Callithrix jacchus: one gene and its partners. The protein of the gene in region 2 interacts with the protein of the main gene of each other region in a pairwise test. Links are inferred from orthologs where the notes say so. Each region holds a gene or a part of one and is shown on either strand. Other genes may lie near its edges.

What was found.
Region 1: the proteins of PSTPIP1 (region 2) and UBE2W interact in binary tests that used the Homo sapiens proteins (3 or more experiments, as listed by UniProt). The two-hybrid records come from large-scale screens. The link is inferred for Callithrix jacchus from reciprocal best matches to the Homo sapiens genes PSTPIP1 and UBE2W.
Region 3: the proteins of PSTPIP1 (region 2) and TULP3 interact in binary tests that used the Homo sapiens proteins (3 or more experiments, as listed by UniProt). The two-hybrid records come from large-scale screens. The link is inferred for Callithrix jacchus from reciprocal best matches to the Homo sapiens genes PSTPIP1 and TULP3.
Region 4: the proteins of PSTPIP1 (region 2) and PTPN12 interact in binary tests that used the Homo sapiens proteins (3 or more experiments, as listed by UniProt). The link is inferred for Callithrix jacchus from reciprocal best matches to the Homo sapiens genes PSTPIP1 and PTPN12.
Region 5: the proteins of PSTPIP1 (region 2) and CD2 interact in a two-hybrid assay, tested with the Homo sapiens proteins (2 studies listed by BioGRID and IntAct). The link is inferred for Callithrix jacchus from reciprocal best matches to the Homo sapiens genes PSTPIP1 and CD2.
Region 6: the proteins of PSTPIP1 (region 2) and LSM4 interact in binary tests that used the Homo sapiens proteins (3 or more experiments, as listed by UniProt). The two-hybrid records come from large-scale screens. The link is inferred for Callithrix jacchus from reciprocal best matches to the Homo sapiens genes PSTPIP1 and LSM4.

What each region holds. Positions count from the first base shown.
Region 1 is NC_133517.1:29,516,969-29,520,468, reverse strand, and holds part of UBE2W (ubiquitin-conjugating enzyme E2 W), read left to right. Parts: intron 1-2,315; coding exon 2,316-2,418; intron 2,419-3,500. UniProt on the Homo sapiens protein: Accepts ubiquitin from the E1 complex and catalyzes its covalent attachment to other proteins.
Region 2 is NC_133509.1:23,975,952-23,979,451, reverse strand, and holds part of PSTPIP1 (proline-serine-threonine phosphatase-interacting protein 1), read left to right. Parts: intron 1-2,038; coding exon 2,039-2,073; intron 2,074-2,251; coding exon 2,252-2,358; intron 2,359-2,914; exon of another isoform or gene 2,915-3,023; coding exon of another isoform or gene 3,024-3,077; intron 3,078-3,500. UniProt on the Homo sapiens protein: Involved in regulation of the actin cytoskeleton. May regulate WAS actin-bundling activity. Bridges the interaction between ABL1 and PTPN18 leading to ABL1 dephosphorylation.
Region 3 is NC_133510.1:16,244,966-16,248,465, forward strand, and holds part of TULP3 (tubby-related protein 3), read left to right. Parts: intron 1-1,013; coding exon 1,014-1,173; intron 1,174-2,458; coding exon 2,459-2,599; intron 2,600-3,500. UniProt on the Homo sapiens protein: Negative regulator of the Shh signaling transduction pathway: recruited to primary cilia via association with the IFT complex A (IFT-A) and is required for recruitment of G protein-coupled receptor GPR161 to cilia, a promoter of PKA-dependent basal repression machinery in Shh signaling.
Region 4 is NC_133512.1:72,500,724-72,504,223, reverse strand, and holds part of PTPN12 (tyrosine-protein phosphatase non-receptor type 12), read left to right. Parts: intron 1-2,660; coding exon 2,661-3,500. UniProt on the Homo sapiens protein: Dephosphorylates a range of proteins, and thereby regulates cellular signaling cascades. Dephosphorylates cellular tyrosine kinases, such as ERBB2 and PTK2B/PYK2, and thereby regulates signaling via ERBB2 and PTK2B/PYK2.
Region 5 is NC_133508.1:154,764,676-154,768,901, forward strand, and holds the start of CD2 (T-cell surface antigen CD2 precursor), read left to right. Parts: upstream 1-1,426; 5' UTR 1,427-1,456; coding exon 1,457-1,517; intron 1,518-1,651; coding exon 1,652-1,972; intron 1,973-4,226. UniProt on the Homo sapiens protein: CD2 interacts with lymphocyte function-associated antigen CD58 (LFA-3) and CD48/BCM1 to mediate adhesion between T-cells and other cell types. CD2 is implicated in the triggering of T-cells, the cytoplasmic domain is implicated in the signaling function.
Region 6 is NC_133523.1:17,038,834-17,042,931, reverse strand, and holds the start of LSM4 (U6 snRNA-associated Sm-like protein LSm4), read left to right. Parts: upstream 1-1,298; 5' UTR 1,299-1,360; coding exon 1,361-1,363; intron 1,364-4,098. UniProt on the Homo sapiens protein: Plays a role in pre-mRNA splicing as component of the U4/U6-U5 tri-snRNP complex that is involved in spliceosome assembly, and as component of the precatalytic spliceosome (spliceosome B complex).

The DNA of each region.
Region 1 (3,500 bases), on a different chromosome or scaffold from region 2:
AGGTGACAGAATAAGACCCTGTCTCAAAAAAAAGTTATTATAAAGTACCTGAAACTCTTGGAAGTTATGCTGTCTTTGACCTGTCATACAGATACTACAAGGATTGATGAGATACTTGCTTAGCTCTTATTTAAAAGCTGTGCTTGTTAGTATAGGTCATATGTAAATTTACGTTGAGTGTCCTAAAATTACCATTTAAACAGAATGAAAGACCACCATTTTTCTTGGGAATATCACTCTGCCTAGTGGATGTGGGTGGAAAAATCAAAAAGGAATTTAAAAGACTATGAAGGACCTAATATATAAAGGGGGAGTTTCTTTGGGCCTGGCATGGTGGCTCATGCCTGTAATCCCAGCACTTTGGGAGGCCGAGGCAGGCAGATCAAGAGGTCAGGAGTTGGAGACTAGCCTAAGGAACCTGGCAAAATCCTGTCTCTACTAAAAATAGAAAAATTAGGTGGGCGTGGTAGTGCACGCCTGTAATCTCAGCTACTTGGGAGGCTGAAGAAGGAGTATTGCTTGAGCCCAGGAGGCAGAGGTTGCAGTGAGTCCAGATCACACCATTGCACTCCATACTGGGCAATAGAGTGAGACTCTGTCTCAAAAAAAAAAAAAAAAAAAAAGAGAGAGAGAGATATAGTTTTTTGTTCTGTATGCAGCTTTTGTCGTGTATTTAATTTACCATGCATTGGCTCAGAGTCAGGAATGTGCTAGGGTTTTTACATATGTAGGGTTATTTATCCAGCAACACTATGACGTAATTATATTCTGTTTTATTATTGAGGTAGTTAAAATTGGAGAGGCCTTACACAACTAGTTAAGATTAACTATAATTGCCACTTCAGTATAACTTAAGTTATAACTGTCTAATTTCACTATAAAATATTGTCTCTCGGGTCTGTGGTCATATCTTTCATTACCATGTATGGTACTCAGCATGCATTCTAAAAATGAATAGCTATGCTCTTAAGAGTCTGTATACTGTAGCTGATTTCTTTTAGAGAATAGGCGTATTTATCATTTTACATATTCCTAAGTTCATGGTATACATGGTGATGACTAGAATCCCAGCACTGTGTTTTCTGTCTTCATTTTGTTTTCTTGTGTTTTAAAATACAAGAAAGTTTTAATACCTGAAAAGTTCAAGAGAATTGGCTAGGTGTACAATAATTGTAAGTGACAGAGCTATAAATAGGAACTCATTGTTAATGACTTCAGTTCACTTTTGCTTCGAATGCTGCCCTGTTACCTTTTTTTTTTTATTTTTTGAAACGGAGTCTTGCTCTGTTGCCCAGGCTGGAGTGTAGTGGTATAATCTTGGCTCCCGCCTCCCGGGTTCAAGTGATTGTCCTGTCTCAGCCTCCTCAGTAGCTGGGAATACAGGTGCACACTACCATGCCCAGCTAATTTTTGTGTTTTTTTTTTAGTAGAGATGGGGTTTCATGTTAGCCAGGATGGTCTCGATCTCCTGACCTCATGATCCATCCACCTCAGCCTCCCAAAGTCCTGGAATTACAGACTTGAGCCACTGTGCTTGGCTGCTGCCCCGTTATCTTTGCTTGTCATTTTCCCTTATTCTTCCCCCATCTTAAAATAGCAAGAAATAGTATATAGACTAAAAATAAAAACACATTTATATATATGATTGTTACATGTGAAAATAAAGTAGGCTTGCATAGATGCCATAGAAATCTATTCTGGGCTTTATTAAACAATTGAAACATAGTATGAGATAAAGGAAAGGCACTACAAAGCTTTGCTTAACTCTCAGAGTAAGTGGACTGATGTCAGTTTAGTTCCCCTTTCCTTGTTAATCTTCTGTAGAATGCTGACGAGAAAAATAAGTCTGACAGCTACAGTTCTTTGTAGTCATTGTCTATACGTACTTCTCCATGGCTTCCACCAGTAATAATCAGAAAAGCAGTTGATTAGTTTGATATTATATATAAAATACATAATATTAGCATTGTAGAAATGATATTTTGGAAAAATGAGGTAGTATAAATCAAGTAGGAAGACCACAGGCTTTGGTGTTGGCACACCTAAGTTTGAGTTTTTATTTTGTTTTTTTAGACCTGGCTCTGTCTTGCTGGCTGTCTCACCTTGATCTGGTTATTTAACCCCTGAGTGTCAGAGAAAGGGATATGTCATGAGTATTAACACTCAGAGTTATTGTGAGGCTAGCATGTGCTGTTATGGATAAACAACTCTTGTCCCAGTGCTTAGTATATAGGAAGTAGTTGGTGTTCTCTTTTCTCCTCCTTACCCCAGTCTCTATTATCTTAAGTTTTTAATTTGCCTTTCCTCTATTCTAGGTGGATTGTAGACATGGAAGGTGCACCAGGTACCTTATATGAAGGGGAAAAGTTTCAACTTCTATTTAAATTTAGTAGTCGATATCCTTTTGACTCTCCTCAGGTAATTGCCTTGCTTTAAAATTTTTTTTTTTAGATAGCTAAATGCCAGTGATGTCTGACTAAGTAAAAACATATAAATCAATTATATGTATGTAGACGGATTTGCTGTTTCAATATCTTATTTGTAATATAAGCAAGATATTATGAACATTACACTTCATTGGGATTAGGGCTTTACTGCATTTGTGCTTCTAAAATTATTCTGTTTGTTTCTTATCCATAAATGCTAGCAGAAAAGGGAATAGAAATCTAACCAGGCCTCTAGGCCGGGGGTCCCCCCAACCTCCATGCTTCAGACTGGTTCTGGTCCACGGCCTGTTAGGAGTCGGGCCACACGGCAGGAAGTGAGCAGCATTACTGCCTGAGCTTTGCCTCCTGTCAGATCAACAGTGGTGTTAAATTCTCATAGGAGTACAGGCGTTACTGTGAACTACAGAAGTGAGGGATCTAGGTAGTGTGCTCCTTATGAAAATCTAATGCCTGATCTGAGATGGAACAGTTTAATCCAAAACCATCATCCAACACCCCACTCCATCCATGGAAAAATTGTCTTCCACCAGACTGGTCCCTTGTGCCAACAATATTGGGGACAACTGCTCTAGGATATGGGACAAGTTGGCATTTTGGAATAACTGGAGGCACTTCCTGTTGGTCAGATAATAGAATCAATCACATGGTGAAGAGAAAAGTTTTCTTTGGAAGTAGTACTTTGATTTTGCATTGACTTGCTGTCTTTGCAGCCTCTTAGTACTGGAAGGGCAGAGTACATCACCAGATGTTAAATATCTAAACATCGACCCAAAGTCTGATTATGATAATTTTTATGCCCAGTCAGTTTAGTTAATAGCTTAATACTTAGACAAGGGATAATGGTGGTAGAGGAATGTTTTTGAGAGCTATTTAAATATGGTAAATGATTAATCAGAGGTTAGAGAAAGGAAGACTTTAGGATGACTTGCAGATTTCTGGCTTTGTAAGATAGGTGACTGAGTTACTATAATTACTTATTCTTCAGAGAATTATTATAACAAAGCACTTCATTTTTAAACTTTGAGGCTTTTGATATCTGTTGGCTAAAGTGGT
Region 2 (3,500 bases):
ATGCGTGAGGGCTGGGTGGGGGCACAGGGGACCGCACTGCTCCTGGAGGCTTCTGTGAATGGGAGACACTGAGCCGAGGGGTGCACTGACAGGAAGCAGAGGGATTGCAGGTGTCACGGCTGGTGAGGAGTCAGAGTCCTGAGCCCCACAAGGGAAGGTGGGGTCACCACTCAGCCACCCCCTCTCCTTCCTCTCCCTGGGTTCCGCTTCCTTCCGCAGGGCGGCCACGAGTGCAGCGCATTCATCCCTCTTACCCTTGGCTTCTCATCTGTGAAATGGGATAATAAAGGGCTGGCAGAGTTGTGAGGTCTCGTCTCTCAGGCCAGCAGGTCTCACGTCTGGATGGGCATCGCAGCGCTTGGGGCCGGCCCCCACCCCGAAGCCTCAGCCTCAGAAGGACAGGGAGAAGCCTGAGAATCTGTATTTCTAAGAGGCTCCGCGGATGCTGCTGCTGCTGGCCTGTGGACCTCACTTTGGGATCCACGAGTTTAGGGCGAGGGACCTGGCCCCCACAGATCTCCCCCCAGGCCTGGACCCCCAGGGCTCCTGCCAGGTTGCTGCTCCTCCTTGGCCTCCGCTTCCCCAGGTGTCTATCGAGAGGAGAAGCTCCCTGAGAAGCCTGCCTGGTGCGCTGCCCTCGCCACCCAGGGCTGTCTGGTGGGAGTCATGAGGCCATATGGCCGCCAGGGGGCGGGCGAGCTGCTCCACAGAGAAGCTACGGGGAGAGCCAGATAAAATACTGGATGCCCAGGTGAATGTGAATTCAGATAAACAACGAATTCTTTAAAAACAAAAGTAGGTCTGGCAGTGTGATGCCTCCGGCTTTGTTCTTTTTGCTTAGGATTGTCTTGGCTATACAGACAATGGGGAGTGGGAAGGGATAACATGGGAGAAATGCCAGATATAGTAGGCACCTAAAGTAAAATAAATAAATAAAATAAATAAATAAATAATTTTTAAAAAGAAACCATAAAATGTAAATGTACAAAATGTATTTGATCTATATATACAATATATATGATAAATGGCAGTTACAAGAGGAAAAAAAAAGTAGGTTTTAGGCCGGGTGCAGTGGCTCACACCTGTAATCCCAGCACTTTGGGAGACTGAGGCAGGTGGATCACGAGGTCAGGAGATTGAAACCATCCTGGCCAATATGGTGAAACCCCGTCTCTACTAAAAATACAAAAATTAGCTGGATGTGGTGGCGGGCACCTGTAGTCTCAGCTACTAGGGAGGCTGAGGCAGGAGAATTGCTGGTACCCTCGAGGCAGGGGTTGCAGTGAGCTGAGATGGTGCCACTGCACTCCAGCCTGGTGACAGACTGAGACTCCATTTCAAAAAAATTAAAAAATAAAAATACGATTTAAATACGACAAGGGGCATACTAAACTCGAAAAGTTCTCGTTCATCTGAGATTCGCATTGCACTGGTGTCCTGTGTTTTCTGTGCTCATTCCACAGCCCTCCCCCCCTGCCCATCATTTCCTCCCATGCCCTGTGCTGGGCCTTCCCTCCCTCCCTCCCTCCCTGGCAGACAGTGCCCACCTCTCACCTCCGGTGCCCTGCCCTGCTAACCTCTCCCATGGCCATCCAGCCCCTCCAAACATCCCCTGGGCCACCTGCTGAGAGCCCATCTGAACACTGTCCTCTCCCCTGCAGCCTCACCGTGGGGCCATTCAGTACCTGCAGAGGAGAGAGGGCTGTGACTGTGGGTTCAGGGGAAGGAGGAGGGTCCTAAAGACAGTCCCTTCTTCTCTAAGAATGCAGCCAGGAGCACAGATGGTGGGAGCATGGGCATTGGTACCTCCTTCTTCTACCACATGGAGGGAGTTTGATTGTTTAATTTGCAGAGAGCTTTGCCTTCCAGAAATCACAGTTTGGGGCCCCAGTGGATGGTCACCATCTGGCTAAAGGGTCCCTTGGTTCTAGGGTGACCCAGGGTCTTCCCACCAAAATAAAAGTCCCCCTGGGCCAGCCTGGACTTCAGGTTCCCACTGTGCTCTCCTCCTCCTGACCTGGACCTGTCTGTTTTGCAGCTCCCTGAGGGCCTCCTTTGACTCCTTGAAGCAGCGTAAGTACCCTACCCTGGGGCGATGGGATCTTTAGGGACGTTGAGGCTGGTGGAGGGTTTGGAGGAACAGAAAATGAGGTGTTGGGCTGAGGCTGTGCTGGGCCAGAGGGGTGAGTTGTGGCTGGCTGAGGCCCATCAGGTCTGACACTGGGAACCAGTGTCCATGCTCTGCCCCCAGAAATGGAGAATGTGGGCAGCTCACACATCCAGCTGGCCCTGACCCTGCGCGAGGAGCTGCGGAGTCTCGAGGAGTTCCGGGAGAGGCAGAAGGAGCAGAGGAAGAAGGTGAGGCAGGTGCAGGGGGCAGGGGAGCAATTCCCCCATCACCAGCCTTTCACTTGCTCTGTGGGTGGGGGGGCTGACCCTCCCCGCAGAGCCAGTGGAGGGTGGCAGGGGGGTGGTGGTGGGACAGTATCCCAGGCTTTGGGGCTTGAGGGTGATCTGAAGTGGGTGGGGAGGGCAGAGGCCTGGCTGCTGGCACCAAGGCCAGCTCCCAGTCCCAGGGCCCCATGGAGGGTCCTTCTGGTCAAGCTGCCTCACGCCTAGGAAGATCCTACTACTGCAGACTATGGAGAGTCTGTGGCAACTTGAGGGTGTCCAGACAAGGCAGTCTGAGTTGTGGGGAGATCACTGGAAACTGGCTTGAGTCTAAGGAGCAGGGCTGATTGTCCCGGAGAAAGGCGGACTTGCAGCCAGTCACCCTGCAGGACTGCCCAAGGCGGAGCAGTCAGACACGTGCAGCCAGTCACCCTGCAGGACTGCCCAAGGCGGAGCAGTCAGACACGTGCAGCCAGTCACACTGCAGGACTGCCCAAGGCGGAGCAGTCAGACACGTGCAGCCAGTCACCCTGCAGGACTGCCCAAGGCGGAGGAGTCAGACACAGACTGGGATGGGGGAGTTGTGTGGCATTGCTTAGCATCCGAAGCTACTTCTCACCCATACGTAGGGCATGGCTATCCTGAGACAGAGTGGCTGCATGGAAGTGAGGTCCTCATCATGGGAGGTGTGTAAGCAGAGGCTGGCAGATCCTTGTCAGGGAGGCTGCAGGGCTGGGGTTGGGGATGGGCTCTTTGGAGGGCCGGCAGGATGCAGGCTAGCCTGGAGGCTGGGCTTGGGCCTGTGGGGATGGGGGCTTGGCCTCTCAAGGCCTTAGTGATGAGGGTGGTGCCCGGCATAGGGTGGGAGGGCAGCACACAGACCCACTGCTTGCTTAGAGACGAAGGATCATTGTAAAACTGAAAATGGAAAGTCACAGCTGAGCCTGGAAGGGGAAAAAGCTGTACCTGAGGCTGGGGCCTGGCTGGGCCTGGGTGTCCTGGCCCAGCCACTTCCCATCTCTGTGCCTCAGTTTCCCTCTCACGATGGGACACATATGTCTACCTCCCAAGTCCTGGAAGCTCAGCCCAAGCCATGCGCCCCCTCAGTC
Region 3 (3,500 bases), on a different chromosome or scaffold from region 2:
TCATGCTTTTTTCCTGACTTTTCTTGCTACCATAGCCTTTATCTTGCTTTTATTTATAGAGTTGACTGCTTTCTATTTGATATGTTCCAACTGCCATTTTTTCTCTTCACCTTTGACCCAAATTTGATTTCTAATTATGCAAGATAAACAAGAATGCCAAATTTACTGCTCTTTGACTGCTTAAAACATGGAAATAATTTGAGTTTTAGAGAATATTTTTTTCTTCCAGTTATAAAAGAAAACTTTGGAAAAAAAAAAAAAACTAGAAAAGAGAAAATGATCATGCCTTAGTCTACCACCTCAAGAAATCACCCTTGCTGTGTTCCTCTGTCTTTCCCCATGTATGTGTGTTTATATGTTTTGAGCTTGGATAACGCTATGATGATTAACATACATCTTCAGTAGACTAGGATCACGGCCTCAGCTTGGTTAGAAATGCATTGTGTGGGGTAGGTGTGGTGGCTCATGCCTGTAATTCCAATACTTTGGGAGGCCAAGGCAGTCAGACTGCTTGAGCCTCAGGAGTTTGAGACCAGCCTGGGCAATATGGGGAAACTGGCCTCCACAAAAAATACTAAAGTTAGCTGGGCATGGTAGCATGCACCTGTAGTCCCAGCTGTTCATATTCAGGAGGCTGAGGTGGAAGGATCGGGTACGCCTTGGAGGTCAAGGCTGCAGTGAGCTCTGATGGTGCCATTGAACTCCAGCCTGGGCAACAGAGTGAGAGTCTTCCAAAAAAAAAAAAAAAAAAAAAAAAAACCAGAAAAAGAAAAAAATGCATTGTACTATTTTAAATAGATCTTTATAGGTGTTAGGTGTTCAAAAGTATTTGTTTAATGAAATAATTGAATCATTACTCTTCTCTGTGCCTCAGTTTTCCCATTTCTTAAGTAAGGAAAAAATAATTTACAAGATGTTTTATGAGGATCAGTGAAAAACAAACTGTAAATGTTGGAAGTGGCTAGGTCTTGTCAAAACTTTCCTGGCTCTCTGTTATATCACTTTTTTCCCAGAGGCTACTACTTGAGAAGAGGCAAAGGAAAAAGCGCCTTGAGCCGTTTATGGTGCAGCCCAATCCGGAAGCCAGGCTACGTCGGGCGAAGCCAAGGACTAATGAGGAGCAGACTCCTTTGGTGAACTGTCATATTCCCCACAGCAATGTCATCTTACATGGTGTGTATTTAGGCAGCATCACTTCCTGCTGGGGTACAATTTTCACAAACCTAGAAGGTAGGAGAATTCTCAGATAGACCAAAGGGATAATATTAGTACCGTTACTGGGTACCTTCTTAAATTTTTATAATCACATTTGGGGTCTTTGAAGAGAATAAAATAAATGATGTAATCAATGGAAGATGCCTTAACGTTTGTGTCCATTTTAGAACTGTTTTCTTTTTTCTGAGACGGAGTTTTGCTTTTTTCTCCTGGTGGAATACAATGGCACGATCTTGGCCCACTGCAGCCTCCTTCTCCCAGATTCAAGTGATTCTCCTGCCTCAACCTCCCACTTCAGCCCCCTGAGTAGCTGGGATTACAGGTGCCCGTCACCACACCTGGCTATTTTTTTAATATTTTTAGTAGAGATTGGGTTTCACCATATTGGCCAGGCTGGTCTCAAACTCCTGACCTCAGGTGATCCACCCACCTTGGCTTCCCAAAGTGCTGGGATTAAAGGCATGAGCCACTGCGCCCAGCCAGAAATGTTGTTTTCTAGATGCCAGATGAATGAGTTTAGAATGACCTATTTGAGGAGCTTTTGATTGTTAAATCATGGCAGAGGTGAATCATGAAACCAGGAATAGGTAGAGAGCATTCATTCTTCCAAGATAGTTCAGAGGACCATCTGAGATGGTGAGGAGGCAGAGGAAGAGTAAGATTATAAGAGCCTTTAAATCGTACCACTTTGTTTTCTTGGTCTTATTCTTAAGTTTCTGAAGTATAGCCTCAGGTACATATTACCTTAGTAACAGAGCATGTTAATGGAATGGACACCAGGCTGGGCATGGTGGCTTAGGCCTGTGATCCCAGCACTTTGGGAGGCTGAAGCAGGCAGATCACTTGAGGCCAGGTGTTTGACACTAAGCTGGGCAACATAACAAGAATCCATTTCTACAGAGAATTTAAAAATTAGCCAGGTGTAGTAGCACACACCTGTAGTCCCAGCTACTCAGGGGGCTGAAGTGGGAGGATTGCTTGAGCCCAGGAAGTCGAGGCTTCAGTGAGCTGTGATTACACCACTGCTCTCCAGCCTGGGTGACAGAGTAAGTTCCTGTCTCAGAAAAAAAGAAGACCAGTTCTGACCTACTGTCTTAAGAAAAGTTCTTATGGATGTTAAGAAAGGAGGGGACATAATATGATTTAGTAGTTTTTAATTCTGATCACATATGCCAAACCTACCCAACTAAATAGTGAATAATACTTTGCTCCTTTTTAAAAATTTATTTCATTTTGGCCCTAGGTATTGATGGTCCAGCTGCTGTCCAGAAACCAGATGGAGTTCATGCTCCATCAGTAAGCTCCCCTGTTCTGGAAGAAGATACTGAAAACACCGTGGCTAGTGTTTCCAAGCCAGGACTTAAGGAGAATCTCCAAAAGCATGGTGAGGACTAGTAATGATTTTAAGGCAATTTTTCTTCTTACTCATTTGTAATCTTTTTCTTTTCTTTCATTATAGTTAACAATCTACATGACTCAAAATTACTCATGGTTTAGGGCCACACATAGGTGACAGTATTAAGCATCTTTTACATCTGAATATTGGTCATTTTCAGCAATGGTAGTATTTATACTATTGCCTGAGAAAAATAAGGTAACTAAATATAAAATGTTAGCTACCATAGATGACTGTTTCTCTCCTTTTAACTATTTTTAGTTCCCACCCTTTTCTGACAGAGTTGTCACTCAACCCCCTCTACTCTGCCTCCACTTCATAGTTTGTGATGATTGACAGCCTTTCTGCTAGTTGGAGCTCTCATTTCCATAAATATTCCCATACATTTCAAAGATCCCTTGTAGTCTGCTTTCCTTTTTAAAAAAATAATTTTATAATGAGAAGGGGTCAAGCATCCCCTTTTCAGAAGAGAAAACTGAAGCTTAATAATGAATAAATATCCATTGGGTACCTACTTTGCATTAGGCAAACATTGCTAGGTCCTGGGATATATAAATCAGGAGAACCTAGCATGGAATGGTAGAATAGATGAACGTTTAAACAACTTCATATATTCACTTATTTAGAAATTATGTTTTGCCTGGGTGTAGTGTCTCATGCCTGTAATCCAACACTTTGAGAGGCTGAGGTGGGTGGATCACCTGAAGGTCAGGAGTTCAAGACCAACCTGGCCAACATGATGAAACCCTCTCTCCTAAAAATAGAAAAAGATTAGTCAGTTGTGGTGGTGGGTACCTGTAATCCCAGCTACTTGGGAGGCTGAGGCGGGAGAATCACTTGAACCCAGGAGGTGGAGGTGGCAGTGAGCCAAGATTGCACCATTGCACTC
Region 4 (3,500 bases), on a different chromosome or scaffold from region 2:
AGAGGTTGCAGTGACCCAAGATCACACCACTGCACTGCAGCCTGAGTGACAGAGTAAGACTCTGAATCAATAAAAATAATAAAATACTGATTGTTGACAAGTGGTCTCATGTACATGTAGGAGAAATAATAAACCTCAATTTATATCAAAATTTTATTTTGTCCTTTTAAAACTCATATTTCCTATTTGTATTATGTGTTCTTAGGATAACCTATTGATCTTTGTGTATGCTTTGTAAACTGTAGGAGGTGTCTGCAATTATTTTTTGTTTTAGATCACAAAAACTCGATGGCTACTCTTTTAAGATTCAGAACCTGCTTTTATAGGCCAGGTACAGTGGCTTATACCTGCAGTCTCAGCTCTTTGGAAGGATATGGCAGGTGGATTGCTTGAGTTTAAGAGTTTGAGACCAGCCTGGTCAACATGAACATGGCGAAAACACATGTCTACAAAAAATACAAAACTTAGCCAGGTGTGGTGGTGCACACCTGTAGTCCCAAGCTACTTAGGAGGCTAAACTGGGAGGATGGCTTGAGCCCTGGAGGCAGAGGTTGCAGTGAGCCAAGATTGTTGCTACTGTATTTTAGCCCGGATAGCAGAGCCAGGACCCTGTCTCAAAAAAAAAAAAGAATCTGCTTGTAAAACTTAAACAGATATAGGAACATTTTATGGGAGTATTGCTGTTGTTTTAATATGACCAGTATTCTGGAGATACTCATTTAACTTCCCATGTCCTATTCTAGGAGTGTGTCTAGAGAATCTGAACTTCAGAGTCTCTTTTAAGGGGAAACCTGGTGTACCATGTGATTACTACCAATTCTGTTTGGATAATAAAAAGGTTGATCACCTTGAAGAAAAAAAAGCAAAAACTCTGATGTGGGGCCCAGTGACTCACTCCTGTAATCCCAGCACTTTGGGAGGGGAAGGCAGGAAGACCACTTGAGGCCAGGAGTTCAAGACCAGCCTGTCCAACATTGCAAAACCCTGTCTCTACTAAAAATACAAAAATTAGCCAGGCATGGTGGCATGTGCCTGTAGTCCCAGTTACTCAGGAGGCTCAGTCATGAGAATTGCTTGAACCCAGGAGGTGGAGGTTGCAATGAGCTGAGATGGTGCCACTGCACTCCAGCCTGGGCACCAGAACGAGACTGTATCTAAAAAAGAAAAAGAAAATCAAAATAACTCAGATATACAAGCCCTTAAGAAGTTTGCTTCATATAAAGTTCTTAAAAAGCCGCAAAGCCTGGGCAACATAGTAAACCCTATCTTTCTTTTTCTTTTAGACAGGATCTCATTCTGTCACCCAGGCTGGAGTACAGTTGTATGATCACAGCTCACTGCAGCCTCGACCCCCCTGCCCCCAGGCTCAGGTGATCCTCCCACTTCCACATGCACTGCCACACCCGGCTAATTTTTTTGTATTTGTTGAAGGCACAAGGTTTTGCTATATTGCCCAGGCTGGTCTTGAACCCCCAGGCTCAAGCAATCCACCTGCCTTGGCCTCCCAAAGTGGTAGGATTTATAGACGTAAGCCACTGTGCCCAGCCCCCATCTTTTTTTTTTTTTTTTTTTTTTTGAGACAGTGTCTCTTTGTTGCCCAGGCTGGAATGCAGTGGTGCCATCTCAGCTCATTGCCATTTCCACCTCCCAGGCTCAAGTAGTTCTCCTGCCTCAGCCTCCTGAGTAACTGGGACTACAGGCATGCTCCACCTCACCTGGCTAATTTTTGTATTATTAGTAGAGATGGGGTTTTACCATCTCTACTAATGGTAAGTTCAAGACTGGTCTTGAACTCCTGAGCGAAAGCAATCTGCCCACCTTGGCCTCCCAAAGTGCTGGGACTACAGGCGTGAGCCATGACACCTGGCCCTATCTCTTTAAGGAAAAAAATAAAGGCAACCAGAGGATATAACCCACCCAAACAAAGGAATATACCCAGAAAGAGGAAGATGTGACCTGGGGAAACAGGAGAATCTGAAACCAGGGAGAACATTAGCACTATGGTGGACTAGGGAACCAGTGGTTCACACTGGAGCAGGAGGCCAAAGGTTACTAAGAGGGATGTCTGTGGTATTGTTAGTTACCAGGTGTGCTTGTTACTATTGAGAAGAGGTATACCAGTCTGCAGGAAAGTTACAAGAAAAGCCGAGTAACTGAAGGTGGATAGAGAGCTACGCCATCAGAAACCCAAGGCAGTCATTAGGGGAAAACAAGACATGATAGAAGAAAAGACATAAAATCATGGCAACAAAAAATTACATTATGACAGTATTAGAAAGATGGAAAAGAAGGACGTTTCACAGTAGCAAGTCAATAGAAAATGTGTGAAATAAAGATTAAGAAATAACTTTTGAAATAGTCTGAAATACAGAGGTAAATTTTAGAAGCAACTGTAAAAAGTTGAAAGTGGATGTCTCTGGCTAACTGGGGGGCTTTGGGGTGTGGAGGGAATATGATTTTTATTAAAAGTCTTATATTTGACTTTTTATATGGTATATGTGTGTTACCTTGTTGAACATTAAATTTTCTTAGTCTGAAAAATGACAATTTATATTAATAACCAGATTCTAATAGCTCTTAATATACTAGTCTTAGCTACATAATTCTCATGTATCAACGTGTTTAACAGTCTTAAAATGCTCTTTTTAAATGTTTTTCAGTTGCCTTGTTGAAGGGGATGCTAAAGAAGAAATATTGCAGCCACCAGAACCTCATCCGGTGCCACCCATCTTGACACCTTCTCCCCCTTCAGCTTTCCCAACAGTCACTACTGTGTGGCAGGATAATGATAGATACCATCCAAAGCCAGTGTTGCATATGGTTTCATCAGAACAACATTCAGCAGACCTCAACAGGAACTATAATAAATCAACAGACCTTCCAGGGAAAAATGAATCAACAATCGAACAAATAGATAAAAAATTGGAACGAAATTTAAGTTTTGAGATTAAGAAGGTCCCTCTCCAAGAGGGACCAAAAAGTTTTGATGGGAACACTCTTTTGAATAGGGGGCATGCAATTAAAATTAAATCTGCTTCACCTTGTATAACTGATAAAATCTCTAAACAACAGGAATTAAGTTCAGATCTAAATGTCGATGATATTTCTCAGAATTCTTGTATGGACTGCAGTGCAACACAATCAAACAAAGTTCCAGTTACTCCACCAGAAGAATCACAGAATTCAGACACACCTCCAAGGCCAGATTGCTTGCCTCTTGATGAAAAAGGACATGCAACGTGGTCATTTCATGGACCTAAAAATGCCATACCCATACCTGATTTATCTGAAGGCAATTCCTCAGATATCTGCTATCAAACTATGAAAACTGTGAGTTTAACACCAAGTCCTACAACACGAGTTGAAACCCATGATCTTGTGGATCATAACACTTCACCTCTCTTCAGAACACCCCTCAGTTTTACTAATCCACTTCACTCTGATGACTCAGACTCAGATGAAAGAAACTCTGATGGTGCTGTGACCCAGAATAAAACTAA
Region 5 (4,226 bases), on a different chromosome or scaffold from region 2:
TGGAATGCAATGGCACGATCTCGGCTCACTGCAACCTCTGCCTCCTGGGTTCAAGCAATTCTCCTGCCTCAGCCTCCTGAGTAGCTGGGATTACAGGTGCCCACCACCACACCCAGCTAATTTTTGTATTTTTAGTAGAGATGGGGTTTCGCCATGTTGGCCAGGCTGATCTTGAACTCCTGACCTCAGGTGATCCTCCCGCCTCGGCCTCCTAAAGTGTTGAGATTTCAGACACCGCTCCCAGCCACCATTTAGCATTATTATAATATTTTTGCATTTAAAATTGTAATCCAACTGTAATGCATTATTGTGGATGATGCTCACACAACCATGAGATAAATATTTGGGCTTCCTTTTACCCAGTAATAGCAAACAACTGCTTTCCTCGGCAACTTTCTAACAGATAATATCCATTTGTACTTAGAGTTGAAAAGGAAAACAAGCACCACTTTTACAATTGTTACTCACTGTGAGCTAAAGAATTGCAGCTGAAACTGTGCTTTGGAAGTCGGTCAAGTTACACCTCTTTTCCGTGACTTGCTCTCCCTAGACGTCTTCTCAGGCCACATCGATCTCTGCGCCACTGTCTCTTTCCTTGTTTGACACATTTCTCCTCTCTGTTCCTGTCCCTGTTCCCTCTCACTTCCCTTTTTTCTCCTAATCTCTCTTTTTTCTTAACCGTCTATCATGCTAATCGCTTTAAATGCTTTTGACTCGTTTGTTCTGGTGGATTAATTATATTTCATAGTGTTTACGCTTCTTTGTTTTGGAACAAGTTTTTATTTACCTGTCAATTTCACCACAGTTGTAAAACGTATGCCAACGTATGCCAACGTATAGGATTTGGGGATTGCAAGCATTTACAGCTGATGCTCAATTTCCTTTTTTTTTTTAATCACAAAAATGATTTTAGAACATGAAAAATATCTTTGGAGAAACAGAAAAAAATCAATTTCTAATCATTCTATGGGTATACATTTTTCAGTATTTATAATCATCTAGGATAAATATTTGCCTTCTGCTACTGGCTTTGAACATTTACCTATATTTCTATGTGGTGTTTTAGAGTCCGTAGACCTAAGTGGATAAAAGACTGTGTGGCTGAATTTGGCCTCTTGCTTCCAAAAGAGTGATCCCGAATGATCTACATAGTCTCTCTGCTCCTTTTCTCTTTCATTGGGATGAGAAAACTCTTCCTTCCCAATTTTTTGTGTGGAGATCAAAATGTGGTAAGAAAACACACACTCATAAACACATCTGCTTAGGCAAAGGAGCACATCAGAAGGGCTGGCTTGTGGCTCTCTCTCTCTCTGTGTATGTGTACATGTTTTATGTTACTGTAAAACGTGTAAAGAGAGGCACGTGGTTAAGTTGTCGGGGTGCGGACTTCACCAGTCTCACTTTAGTTCCTTTTGCATGAAGAGCTCAGAATCCAAAGAGGGAACTAGCTCCTAAGATGAGCCTTCCATGTAAAATTGTAGCCAGCTTCCTTCTGATTTTCAACGTTTCTTCCAAAGGTAAGTTGGTGCGTGGATCTCCATCGTCACTGTTAGAACTTCTTCAGAGATCCTGAAGTAAGCTTAAGAGTCAAAGAAGTCCCAACGTAGCTTTTTCTGGAAGTGAGTCTCAGTAATTCTTTTGCTTTTTACAGGTTTACTCTCCAAAGATGTTAGGAATGCCTTGGAAGTCTGGGGTGCTTTGGGTCAAGACATCCACTTGGACATTCCTGATTTTCAAATGAGTGCGGATATTGACGATATAAAATGGGAAAAAGGTTCAGACAAGAAGAAGATTGCACAATTCAGAAAAGGGAAGTCGACTTTTGAGGAAAAAGATGCGTATAAGCTATTAGAAAGTGGGACTCTGAAAATCAAGCATCTGAAGATGGATGATCAGAATACCTACACGGTATCGATATACGATGCAGAAGGAAAAAGTGTGTTGGAAAAAACGTTTGATTTGAAGATTCTAGGTAAGTGTTCATTCCTCAGATTGCTTTATTTCAGTATGAGTGCTATTTGGCAAGTTGGAAAATAGCACTTATACTATTCCCCAGCGCTGACCTCTGCCTCCAGGGGGGCTGTACAGGAAATCAGACGCACGTGTCCTGCCACCACGGTCCAGTGTGGGAACGGGATCCACACACCTGATAGACGCTCAAGGCTACCTGCCTACAACCCTCTCTTCAGGTGGTTACAGGAAGGTGGGGCTGGGTGAAGAACCTGGATTAACGTGGCATTAATCAGGAGGGGGACAGGTGAACAGAGGGAAAAGGCAACTGTTCTAGTGGCTGACGACGGGGTGGGGAGAAGAGGCTGACGGGAGAGCAGCGGGCCTTTCATCAAGAGAGCTCGTTTCAAGCCAGGGTGCCCTGAAGGAGGAGTTACATGGCAGAAAAAGGCTGGAAACAACATATTTAAGGATCAACAGCCCTTGTTTTGGATCTGCTTGTCAGAGTGATCCAAGGTGGTAGGTGTTTTTTGCTGCTATGTGTAGAAGACGCACAAGGTGTGGCTTGGTATGTCGCTGCGTGTACTGGGCGGGCAGGAGTGGGTATTGAGGATGGGGTTAGGGAGACTAGCCAGAAAGCTGCTGCTGGAATCCGAGTGGAGTGAAGACCAATTAAATCTGAATTTTTTGGCTTAGGGCCAAAAATTTTTTTGGTTTCAATAAGTTCTAAAGCTCCCTGGGGGATTCTAATGAGCAGCAGCCAAAGTTAATCACCACTGGCCTAGACCAAAGGGCGCCGGTCCATAGGAAGAATGTAGATAAAAAGGGTCAGGCTTAGAGAAAGGATGGACAGGTGGCTTGGGCAAGGGAGAGAAGGAAGAGAAAGTGGAATCGAAATGCCACTCAGCTTGAAAGCCCAGGGGACGCTGAGCAGGCAGTGATCATTTTCGCATGTTTAATAGAGACGGGCTTCACCATGTTGGCCAGGCTAGTCTCGAACCCTTGGCCTCAAGTGATCAGCCTACCTCAGCCTCCCAAAGCGCTGAGATTACAGGCATGAGCCACCTGAACCCGCTGAAATATTATATTATTTATATATGTACATATAAGTAGAAAATATCTGACAAAGATATACATCAAAATATTAGTCATTGTTGACTATGAGTAGTGGCATTGGGGGTAATTTTTAATCTGATTTAAACTTTTAAAAATATTTTATCAACTTGTACAATGACCGAAGTTGAAAACCCACAGACGCTGGGCAGGGAGTGATAAGAGAGGAAAAGAGGAAGCTGCCCTTGGCTGGGGGAGAAAGACATGAACCCCAGCATGAGCATAGGCCAGCCAGTCGGTGAGCAAAGAAGCATTTCTCTGTCTCACACAGAAAATGTTTCCAGAAGCAGGGCCCCTCCTCCTTCCTCTCTCTCTCTCCAGCCCCATCTTCAGCTCCTGGGCCTACCAGCAATCCCAGATATTGTCAGATGACCCACTCCAGCAATCCCAGATATTGTCAGATGACCCACTCCAACAATCCCAGATAGACACTGTCAGCCCTGCTGCAGTCACAACTTTCCACACCCTAGTCCTGCAACCTTGAATGGAGAGCACCTTGTAGAAATGTAGTGTGCTTGAGCATGGCGCTGAAAGGGGCCTCTGATTCTCTGGAAACCATAGATCTCAGGACTCCAAACAGCACAAGTTGTGTGTCCTGTTTGGAGTGTGAGCCCTACAGGGGGACCCTGCTGGTGCTTTCACATTTGGGTCCCCTAGCACTGCGGTGGAAATAACGGCTACCAGCTAGGGGTCAGGTGCTTGCTTACATGGTCTTATTTGAAGCTCCCAACAATACTGAGACGTACTTGTTATGATCTTCTCGTTATGGATAAGAAAACAGAGACCTAGTGAGAAGCAGCTTGTCCAAGGTCTCATTGCTTGACAGGGGCAAAGTCAGGATTCAAACTCAGAGGGCTTCTTGGCAAGGACGGTGACCTTTTCTTTTTATCCGAACGGCTTCATTGAGATAATCCACATACTGTCCAGTTTGTCCATGTACTAAAAGGCCTTTAGTATACTCAGAGTCTTGCAGTCATCACCAAAATGGACATGTTCATTGCTTCAAAAAGAAACCCTTCACCCTTTAGCTGAAAGACGGCGATTTCCCGTTGTGCGTGTGCACGCCAGTGTCATGCGATGTCTTGATTCAGCTTGTAGCTGGTCACCATTACCAGACTTAAGGTCACCATGGCCTTGGGAAAATTCCCTGTCTGCTCTGAGTC
Region 6 (4,098 bases), on a different chromosome or scaffold from region 2:
GAGGCACAGGACACACAGAGCCTCCGGAGCGAGCCAGCTCCACTGACAGCCTCAGTTCAGAATCTGGTCTCCTGAACTGTGAGAAAATCACGTTCTGTTGTTTTAAACCTCTCAGTTTGCAGGCGTTTGTTACAGCCCCAGGAAACAACAGCATTTGCCTATTTACTTTGTTTACTGTCTCCCTGAGAGCCACGAATTTTGTGTTTTGTTCATTTCTGTGAGCAGAAGCAGGCACAAAGTATATTGTTAAGTACTTAATATGCGCCAGACCTGTTTTTGTTTGTTTTGAGACAGAGTTTCGCTAGTTGCTCAGGCTGGAGTACAATGGCGTGATCCTTTGCCTCCTGGGTTCAGGCTGGAGTACAATGGCGTGATCCTTTGCCTCCTGGGTTCAAGCGATTCTGGGATTACACCACTGCCGGCTAATTTTATTTTTTTGTTTTTTGTTTTTTTTGAGACGGAGTTTCGCTCTTGTTACCCAGGCTGGAGTGCAATGGCCGATCTCGGCTCACGGCAACCTCCGTCTCCTGGGTTCAGGCAATTCTCCTGCCTCAGCCTCCCAAGTAGTTGAGATTACAGGCACGCGCCACCATGCCCAGCTAATTTTTTTTGTATTTTCAGTAGAGACGGGGTTTCACCTTGTTGACCAGGATGGTCTCGATCTCTTGACCTCGTGATCCACCCGCCTCGGTCTCCCAAAGTGCTGGGATTACAGGCGTGAGCCATCGCGCCCGATCGCCAGGCGCTGTTTTAAGTGCTTTTTACATAGTTTCACTCATTTCATCCTCACAGCAAGCAACCTTTTGGAGCAGACACTACTATTATAACCCATTTTACAGCAAACTGAGGCTCCGAGGGGCGTGGTCAGGATTCCAACCCACTAAATGATGTTCCTGGATAATTACAGAATTAGAAAACTAGGAGTCCGAAGGGCGACCTGAGGGACGTCCCAATCACCACGAGACCTCGCTGTCTCTAAGACTGCAAACGAAAGGCATTAACTGGCTTTGCCCACAGCGTGGAGCCCGAGACCGACGGCTTCACCTGCGCATGCGCTTACCCACAAAACACCCCGCGCCTGGGCGCGTTGCTCCGCCCCCTTTTGCATTACAAGTCGCGACACTTTACGGCTCTATTCCTCGTTCCTCCGGCGGGAACGCGGCCCGCCCGCCCCTTTCGCCCAGAGGGCCCCGCCGTGTTCCGCGTGGATTGGTTGGCCGCCCTTCGAGCCCAGTGCTGACTGGCTCGCGTGTCTGCCACTTTCTTTCAGCCTAGTGGCGCGCGGCGCTGCGACGACCGCCGGGAGCGTGTGCAGCGGCGGTGGCGGAAGTGGCCGGCGAGCCCGGTCCCCGCCGGCACCATGGTGAGGGCAGGGCAACGGCGGGGTCTCATCGGGAGGCGGGAGCCGCAGGCGTTGGGAGCCCTCCGGGCGGGCGCTGACGGTTGGGTTGGCGCGGGGTGAACGTAGAGTCAGAGCCTCGCGTTCCGTCTCCCGGCACGAGGCTGGGAAACTGAGGCTGGAGACTGCAGATGGCTCTAGGACGTCTGTGTCTGAGATTTAGGGTTGCACGGGCTTGTATCCGTAGTACAGCGGGCTCGCTTTACTTAGTTTTTCCCATTTTTTCCCCTCAGGTGGGGAAACTGAGGTCAAAAAAGGTGGGGGCCCGCCAAATGCAAGTTTTTGGGCAGGGAAGGGGCCCCGAACGCTTCGGGCCCGGTCAGACCTCCCAGATTGAAAATTAGAGTGCTGGGAAGTAGGGGGCCAGTCTGAGTTGTGAAACTTAGCTTTAGGAATTTCAGAGCTTGCAAGATGCATAAAATGCTCGCAGCACAGCGTCCTAGGCCTGTTGTTTTCTGTCTGAAAATCGGGCCTGGTGCTGGGGTGTGGTCTTTCTCCTTGGGTCACATAGCATGTCATTCCAGGGGAAGGGGGCATTTTGAGCAGGAGTGGATAAAGTGCATCCTCCCAATACACAGAAGGAAAAACTGAGGCCCAGGTCTCTGCAGGGCCAGATGTTTGTGATTATGGAAGTTCTGGATCTGGGCCAGAAAGTGCCCGTGTCCTCAATGTGCAGATCGGAAAACGAAGTCGGAGCTGGGAATTTCCTGGCCCATCAGCATCTGGCGCTTCTTTTTTCAGGGAGAGAAATCTAGGCCTTTGTTGGGGATGTGACTTCCAGACTCTGTGAGACAGTGGGAGATTTAGTAACCAGGAGGGACCCACAGGGGTGGCTGCATCAGAGCTGAGGATTAGTAAGAGATGCTCCCTAAATCCTGGGGTCAGTGTGTAACCACCCAGTGGGTTCACTTAGCCTGCTTCCTAGACAGAGCCGATTTATCAAGACAGGGGAATTGCAATGGAGAAAGCAATTCACACAGAGCCAGCTCTGCAGGAGACTGGAGTTTCACTCTTGTTGCCCAGGCTGGAGTGCAGTGGCACAATCTTGGCTCACTGCAACCTCTGCCTCCCGAGTTCAAGCTTTTCTCCTGCCTCAGCCTCCTGAGTAGCTGGGATTACAGGCGTCAACCACACCATGTCCGACCAATTTTTTTGTATTTTTAGTAGAGACAGGGTTTCACCATGTTGGCCAGGCTGGTCTGGAACTCCTGAACTCAGGTGATCCACCCACCTCAGCCTCCTGAAAGTTCTGGGATTACAGGGTGAGCCACTGTACCCAGCCTAGGGGATCCGAGTTTTTAAGATGATTTGGTCGGTAGGGGCTCAGGAAGTGGGGGGTGCTGATTGGCTGGAGCTTCCTGAGGTTGGAGATGGAGTCCTGAGGAGGTCGAAGTGAGATTTTCTTGCTGTCTTCTGTTCCTGGGTGGGATTCTGTCCGTGGGTGGGATTGCGGGACTGGTTGAGCCACATTACTCGTCTGGGTGGTGTCAGCGGATCCACCTAGTACAGGGTCTGCAAAAATATCTCAAGCACTGATCTTAGATTTTTATAATAGTGATGTTATCCCCAGGAGCAATTTGGGGAGGTTCAGACTCTTGAGCCAGAGGCTTCGTGACCCCTAAACGATAATTTCTAATCTTGCAGCTTGTCAGTCCTCCAAAGGCTGACTGGTCCCCAGGTAAGAAGAGGGTGTTTTCTGGAAAAAGCTATTACCAATCTTGTCTCAGAGTCAAACTATAGACTGAATTTCTTCCCAAGGTTAGTTCGGCCTATGCCCAGGAAAGAGCAAGGACAGCTTAAAGGTTACAAGCAAGATGGAGTTGCTTAGGTCTGATCTCTTTTTGCTGTCATAATTTCCTCAGGTACAGTTGTTGCGAAGGCGGTTTCAAGTGCAACAATTCAGAGAAGGGAGCCGGCCCCTCCTGCTGTGTCCCCGAGGGCAGAGTTGGAAGGGTCCATCCTGTGACAAGTTTTATGGAAGCAGGATCTTCATTTTTCTTCCCTCTATTATTCCCACTGTGTAGAACGGTGCGTGGGCAAAGTTAGAACTCATTCATTCAGCCCGTCCCCACCTTCTGAACATCCAGAGTCCCCAAGTCCTGGCTATCCAGGCGTTTCCTGGAGGAGTGGCCAAGAATGGACGAGGCGGGCCAGGTGGAGTGGCTCATGCCTGTAATCCTAGCACTTTGGGATGCCGAGGTGGGTGGATCACCTGAGGTCGGCCAACATGGAGACACCCCGTCTCTACTAAAAATACAAAATTAGCCTGGAGTGGTGGGATTACATGCTTGTAATCCCAGCTACTTGGGAGACTGAGGTAGGAGAATCACTTAAACCCAGGAGGTGGAGGTTGCAGTGAGCCTAGATTGTGCCACTGCACTCCAGCCTGGGCAACAAGAGTGAAACTCCGTCTCAGGGGAAAACAAAAAGAATGGACAAGGCCTCATGGGATACACACTTCCAGTTCCCTGTGGTCAGGGTAGGACTAGGAGTGACCTGGGTTAGCAGCCGGGGAGGGCAGTCCTGGAAAGCTTCTGGAATTAGGAGCCACTGGATTTAGTCCTCATGGGTCTAAACCTGAGAACCAGACTCCAGGTGTTCCAAGAAAGCGCAGAGAAAGGAATTCTCTTTTCTGAATTTTCTTGTGATCTTCCCTGAGCCAGGTGATGGGGCCGCTCCCATCACACTTGGCACTTTTT